2 linked regions of the Oryza sativa Japonica Group genome follow. The protein of the gene in region 1 interacts with the protein of each later gene in a pairwise test. Links are inferred from orthologs where the notes say so. Each region holds a gene or a part of one and is shown in the gene's direction. Other genes may lie near its edges.

What was found.
Region 2: the proteins of cell division cycle 5-like protein (region 1) and pre-mRNA-splicing factor SPF27 homolog interact in binary tests that used the Arabidopsis thaliana proteins (3 or more experiments, as listed by UniProt). The link is inferred for Oryza sativa Japonica Group from reciprocal best matches to the Arabidopsis thaliana genes CDC5 and MOS4.

The regions. Positions count from the first base shown.
Region 1 is NC_089038.1:16,929,320-16,932,264, forward strand, and holds part of cell division cycle 5-like protein, read left to right. Parts: coding exon 1-1,563; intron 1,564-2,945. UniProt on the Arabidopsis thaliana protein: Component of the MAC complex that probably regulates defense responses through transcriptional control and thereby is essential for plant innate immunity. Possesses a sequence specific DNA sequence 'CTCAGCG' binding activity.
Region 2 is NC_089035.1:9,024,580-9,029,063, forward strand, and holds the start of pre-mRNA-splicing factor SPF27 homolog, read left to right. Parts: upstream 1-1,297; 5' UTR 1,298-1,387; coding exon 1,388-1,636; intron 1,637-2,865; coding exon 2,866-3,041; intron 3,042-3,660; coding exon 3,661-3,744; intron 3,745-4,075; coding exon 4,076-4,145; intron 4,146-4,222; coding exon 4,223-4,356; intron 4,357-4,426; coding exon 4,427-4,484. UniProt on the Arabidopsis thaliana protein: Component of the MAC complex that probably regulates defense responses through transcriptional control and thereby is essential for plant innate immunity. Involved in mRNA splicing.

The DNA.
Region 1 (2,945 bases):
TATGAGCCTAATGATGATCCAAGGAAGTTACGGCCTGGTGAGATTGACCCGAACCCCGAGTCAAAACCTGCACGTCCTGATCCTGTTGATATGGATGAAGATGAAAAGGAGATGCTTTCTGAGGCAAGGGCTCGCTTAGCTAACACCAGGGGTAAAAAGGCAAAGCGGAAGGCAAGAGAGAAACAACTTGAAGAGGCAAGGCGACTTGCCTCACTGCAGAAAAGGAGAGAATTAAAGGCGGCTGGTATTGATACACGGCAGAGGAAGAGAAAGAGAAAGGGTATCGATTATAATGCTGAGATTCCTTTTGAAAAGAGGCCGCCTCCAGGTTTTTATGATACTGTTGGTGAGGACAGGCCACTTGAGCATGTACAGTTCCCAACCACTATTGAGGAGCTTGAAGGTAAGAGAAGAGTAGACATAGAGGCACAATTAAGAAAACAAGACATTGCCAGGAACAAGATTCTCCAGAGGCAGGATGCTCCTGCTGCAATTATGCAGGCAAATAGACTCAACGATCCAGAAGCTGTCACAAAGAGGTCCAAATTAATGCTTCCACCACCCCAAATCTCTGATCATGAGCTAGAAGAGATAGCAAAGATGGGTAATGCTGGTGATCCTTCTTTAGTTGAGGAACTTGGCGAAGGTAGTACTGCCACAAGAGCATTGCTTTCTAGTTATTCCCAAACTCCAAGACTTGGAATGACACCATTGCGGACGCCACAACGAACTCCAGCTGGGAAGGGTGATGCTATTATGATGGAGGCAGAAAATCTAGCGCGTCTAAGGGAGTCTCAGACCCCTCTTTTAGGAGGGGATAACCCGGAGCTTCACCCATCAGATTTCTCTGGTGTTACACCACGTAAGAAGGAAATGCAGACTCCAAATCCAATGGCAACACCTTTGGCAAGCCCTGGCCCTGGTGCTACTCCAAGAATTGGAATGACACCCTCCAGAGATGGAAGTTCTTTTGGTTTAACTCCAAAAAGTACTCCTTTCCGAGATGAGCTTCGCATAAATGAAGAGGTGGATATGCAAGATACTGCTAAACTTGAGCTTCGTAGGCAAGCTGAATTGAGAAAAAGCCTACGATCTGGGTTTGCTTCTATTCCACAGCCTAAGAATGAGTACCAGATAGTTATGCCACCTATCACGGAGGAGGAGAAGGAAGAAGCTGAAGAGAAAATTGAGGATATGTCAGACAGGCTTGCACGAGAGAGGGCTGAGGAACAAGCAAGGCAGGAAGCCTTGCTCAGAAAGAGATCCAAAGTTTTGCAGAGGAGCTTGCCAAGGCCACCGGCAGCTTCTATAGAAATTCTCCGACAAACTCTAATTAAGGGTGGTGAAAGCAGAAGCAGGAGCACCTTCGTGCCTCCTACATCACTTGAACAAGCTGACGAACTAATAAATGAGGAGCTTCTTCGGCTCCTTGAGCATGATAATGCTAAATATCCTCTAGATGAGAAAACTCAAAAGGATAAAAAGAAAGGAAGCAAGCGCCAGGCGAATGGGACTCCTTCTGTACCTGAGATTGAAGATTTTGATGAAGACGAATTAAAAGAGGTAGGTTTTCTTCCCCTCTTATTATATTAGTATTTTAGCAATGAGACATGCCTATTTTAATCTGTTAACATCTATTTCAAGTGACTGATAGACTCTACTCATGAATGCAAATTTTGTTGGATTAGTTATAACTTGAAATCCTGTAGTAATAACTTGAAATCCTGTGTGTGCAAGATTGATCAATGTTTATCTCTCACTGAACACATATAACATGTGCCTTAAAGCATCAATCCTAAATAATTTATGACTTCATGTAGCAACTTTTGTATTCTTACTCTTTGATTCTCAAGCAGCCAAAGTTTGAATTATCCTAATGGCATCAAATGTTCTCTGGAGGATAACTTGAATTAATGCTAACTTTATATGTTATACTGGAAAGATACCATGTAGCTGTGGGATCCATAGGATCATGTGCTTAGTTTTAAGAACGTAATGTTTGATCTGATTAGCACTATAAAGATATAACCATGTGCTTGGCATTGCAGGATCATGAATCTGTTTACATGTAGTACCCTTTTGGATACTTTGTATTTTGGTCTTTGGATAGTCAGAACAAAAAACTTCATTCCATAAAAAATTGCAATGCCTTATTTACGGTGCATCCTTTGGTTATTGAATGGCTCAGCCATTGTCTCCTTGGTATCATTGTTTGATGCAGTAGATGGCTAGAACATATGAGCTCATTTCACGTACTCAGCTTTGATGGGAACATGTTTCACAATGAATTGCCCATGTCGTTAATGATTCCCATAGTGACCCCAACAAAAGATCATGTCTTGTGTGGTGAGATGTGAAATTGCATCACATCATTGTGAAAATTTAATTGACAGTATGAAATCCGTGTTATGCCATTGTGAGAATTTCATCTGCATCAACTAGCAATCACATTGATAGCAAAGGTGATCTAGCTTACATGGGGCCTTCATTGTCAGTAGAGTAATGGGGTGGCATCATTTTATATTGGAAGACAATGCACATATAAATTTCCTTAGCATATAATCTCTGGACAGGGCACAGAGAGCTGAAGGTAACGCTTTCAAGTTTCAAGCCAATCTCCCAGACAATTTAAACGGAGATATTTTGTAGAGATGGACCTAGAAGCTATATTCTCTCATCTAGTCATTTCCATACATTGTCTGTGAAGTTATTTCTGTACATAACCTGTAGATTTTCATCAAGAACCTTCCATTTCGCATCTATTTTTTGTTTCTAGTCAGTTTGGCATATGGTCTATTTTCTGGGTTTCTTGGATTCTTTTGAACAGTACTTATATTAATGCTATACACAATCCGCATGCTGTAGCCAGTATTCAATTTTCTCAGGAGTTACTCAGGTTTTAGTGTACTACATCATACGCGATATATGGTCGGTTTTTAGTTGTC
Region 2 (4,484 bases), on another chromosome or scaffold:
CAATACCACATAAATATTGTCAAAATATTGGCATTGGCAAAAACTTACCTATAATTTGGCATCGCCAATAGTTTGGCATAGTTACAAACCAAACAAGACCTGAAACTTTTGTTCATTGTAGCCTACCCATCTTAAAATTACTATTAGGAAAAATTGAAATATATAGTAAAAATTTGAAATTACCAAGTAAACGCTACCGGAGGGAGTATGTTTCTTTTTTTTAAAAAAAAAAAGAAAAAAAGGAAATCTCCGCCAGAACGCCACCCGGCATCGTCTGGACTCTGGATCCTCCTGGATCCATGCTAGAGGCCTAGAGCCATAGATTACTGATTTATTGTACATACTTTCAACATGGCAGATGTTCTTCTCGAATGGCTCTCGGCGTTTTGTTAACACAAAGGGGCGTAATGTGTCATGTCGAGTTGTCAACGAAGATGGTAGAGGGATTCCATCAGGCTGAGCGCAGATCGGAATCTATCTATGAGTATAAATGATAATGATGTGGATACAGTTAATTACTAATGACGTGGACACGCTTTAAGATGCTCTAGTCTCTTTCACAGGTCAAATCTCGTGTTCAATAGTACTATAGGAGTAGCAGCCAAGGAGCAGTTTAGTTAGTATTATGTACTCCTCCGTCTTAAAAAAAATTCAACCTAGGACTTTGATGCGACATAATATAGTACAACGAATTTGAAGAAACCTAACTCCTCTTTTTTTTCATCCTCCTTTTTTTTCTCTTCCAAATTTCTCTCTCCATAAATATTTTCATTTTGAAATTATCATTGTTTAAGATGTGTAGCGGCAAGTTTGTTCTCATGCAAATGCTTTTCATCTACAGTAAAAAAAACTTTCACTAATTGAATAATCAAAATTTCAATTTTTGGTCAATGAGGTATAGCAAAATACATATGCGACGAATTATGGAATAGCCACTCGATCGATTTTGTGAGGCTATTAAAAAGTGTACGTAAAGGATTCTCCGTGTGATGACGCATGAAGCAAGTGTAATTGGGCTCAATGCTATATATGATTTCTGACTTTGTTTTGCCATTATTTTATTTATCTTGTTTCAGTTTGTCATTTAAATTGGCAGAGTTTCTACCCATCGTAAAAATTATCTTCAAACCCAACGCCATTTTTGCTAGTTATAAACTTATAAATAAAGAAAGCGCTGGCCTGCACCTGTCTGGCCCAATCGGCTGGGCTTGCACCCACTCTTGGGCCTTGGGCCAGTGGGCCGTAAGGGAAAGAGAGAGGAAGACACGAGCTTTTCTCCTCCTCTTCCTCTCCCTTCGCCCGCGGCGACAACCCTGAACCCTCCTCTCTCTCCTCCACCACCTCCCCTGCGACCAGCGGCGCGCGGCAGCGGCAGGCGGCCACCGGGATGGCGTCGTCGTCGGGGACGAGGGAGGTGCTCATGCTGGAGGCCCCGCCGGCGCCCTCCGGGGCGCCGTGGCGCGCGCCGCCGGACGCGGAGGCCGTGGACGCGCTGCCCTACATCGACGGCGACTACGGCGACCCGGCGGTGAAGCGGGAGGTGGACCGGATGGTGGAGGAGGAGATGCGGCGCGGGAGCCGCAAGCCCGCCGACTTCCTCCGCGACCTCCCCCCCGTCCCCGCCATCGGGTTCGAGGTAGATTCGCGATCTCTCATCTCCTCTCCTCTCCTTGTGGGTTCTTGGAGCAGCTCTAGTTCAGCGTCGGGGTCGTTGCGTTCAACTATCTTTTCAGGCGAAAAAAAATAGAACTGTATCTTTTCTTTCGAATGTGATTCGCGTTAGGGTTATAGCTACTTGTAAGAATGAAACGGGTTAGAGGCTGGGGGGTGTATAGGGTTAGTAGTTGTGTACTCGAAAGTGAGAGCACATTGCTAAATACTGTACATTATCCTCCTTTAGAACTGTGCTTATAACTATGTTTTGGTGGCGGAATTTTGGATTATAGTTGAGCTAATTAACTGAGTATATGTGGCTTGCTTGGATTTGTATAGAACTTTTTTTTTTGTAAAGCTTAATGTTTTGCTCTGCTATAATGTCTGTATGTTAACGTTGATCCTGAAAAGAACAAGAGAGTATTTTTTTCTGTTGCCACATGCTTCAATTGATTAGCTCGTATGGAGGACAGATGCCTGATGGTCCGTGCCTTCAAATTTTCTGAAATAATAATAATTGATAGTTTTGACTAGATCCACCCTGCTGCAAACAGAAAAGCAACATATTTTGGCTGCAAATATTTAACTTTTTTACTTAGCAACATTTCTTGACCACCAAATGAACCTATTGATTTGATCGGTTACTTGAAATTAAGTATACAATTTGAGGCACCAAGAACTGAAATATAAGCTCTTTTCCATGTTCTGTGTGCATTGAGCTAAACCGACAGGCAATTTGAACCTGTGGCAGTCAATAATATGACCTAAGGTATCAAAAGTGCACACGGCAGTCAATGAAGAATAGTTATTATAAGAAAAAAGAACTAAATTGAATGGGCATTCACGCTTTGATGATTTCATCTAAATAATTCTTATGAGATGTACCAGTCTAGGTGTTTGCATCATATTAACTCTGCTCCATAATAGTTGTCTTAGAGCTCAGAGAGCAAGGAAAGGGTTAATACCTTTTTTTTCACAAAGTTTGCCCTTTTGGATGATATAATCTGTGCTTATCTGTGCAATTGAGTCATATTTGAAGATACATACAGCCATTTAATTCGTTGTAGGCTTGTATTGCTTATTGAAATTATACAAAATATTTGAATCACAATTTGGGTTTCATTTTTTTAGAACTTATGCCTCATCATGTGAATATGTTTACAACCTTATGAGTTTTTATTATTTGATACTCATTTTGCACATCTGTTCTAGAATCATCCTATGCTTGCTAAAGAGTACGAGCGTGTTAGAGCTGGGAAACCTCCTGCTACCATAGAGATGTCCCGCTATGGTTTGGAGCCACCCCCAGCGAACAAGAGGAATGATGTTGCTGCATGGAGGCAGGCTCTAAGAAATGCTCAGAGCCAGCTGCACCATCAAATCATAAGGTAAGAGTAGAGAGCCACAGGGTACTGAACTAATGAAATTTACCATCAAAGGTGCAGTATCGTTGAACGTTGTGCATTTGATTGTGATAGGATCACAGGGACCAGTGTCTTCCTGTGGCATGTCCTTTTGATAATTTTTCATTACCATAATAGCTTTTAAGCTTTCCCTGGTGTGGAAAACATAGACTTCGAGAATAGTATCAGAGTAGATAGGATGGGCTGCTTGACAAAGGTTTCTGCAGTCTGTTTAAAATAACAAGCAGTATTATTTTGATAAAAGAGCATGTTTTTTGGATACACTGACAATTTGTAAATTGGAGGATTGTATAATGCTCATAGCAGAAGACTTTTCCTTGTACTTTACTAAATGTATCTTGGGTAAATTAAGATATTTGATCATGTATTGCCTAATATCAGCTTCAACAGTTTACTTGACAATGGGAGCTCCTAGGTTAGTTATGATTGAACATGTAAAGCTTCGATCATGTTACTTCAGAATTCGACTGCTGTACGCACTGTGTAGGATATACTGCTTTTTTCTGACCATGGTTTCTTATCATCTATGGAGTCAGCATACTTCTATGCTATTATTAGTTTTGAAATAAAGTTAATATTGCAGGATAGAGAATCTGGAGCTTATGCTGAAGTATGGTGTTGAGGTTTGGAAGCTTCAGAATAGACAAATGGAATCAGTTTTGTCTAGGTAGGCTATTGTGACATAAGTTTATTATCTTTGAATTTGGAGCTACGTATCCTGTGTTATTCATGAGATTCATTTAGAGCCATTTCAGTACTCCTGTTTGTAGACTCTGGTCTCATATGTTGATAGTGTAGCTTAGCTGTTTAAACTTCCAGTAAAGCACTTATTTTGATATTTGAAGCACTTATTTCGACATTCTTGTAAGTCTCAATGCTACTTATCACTGTAACAATATGGATGGTAGATTATTTTTATGCCTGATTGCATGGTATCTAAGATGTCGAATATAGCATTTATCATTCTAGCAGCATATGATGGGTTGATCTCTTTATAGGATGCAAAAGATGGCTGTCGAATACAATGAGAAGATAGAAACTGTCAACCGCGAGAGGAAATTTCACCAGGTAATTATATTACTCCTGCTCTTGTTCTTAACCACGGCATATTTCACAGCCAAGCTGATCATTTGTGTTTTGATCAGCAAAACACTGGTGGTCAACTCCATGCCTTGACGACGGAATGGCAGGAGCTGTGTCAGAAAAATATAGCTATTCAAGCTGCATGTGTTGATCTGCAGAATCAGATTGATCAGCTTAAACTTGGAGCTAAAGAATTGTACTCCCCCTCTCTCCCTACTTTCCTCCCTCTCTCTCCACATCCACATGACTAACAGATTCCTTAACAGGGGAATGCCCATCGATGACAGCACCGGAACTAATCAGCAAGCATCATCAGCCATTTGA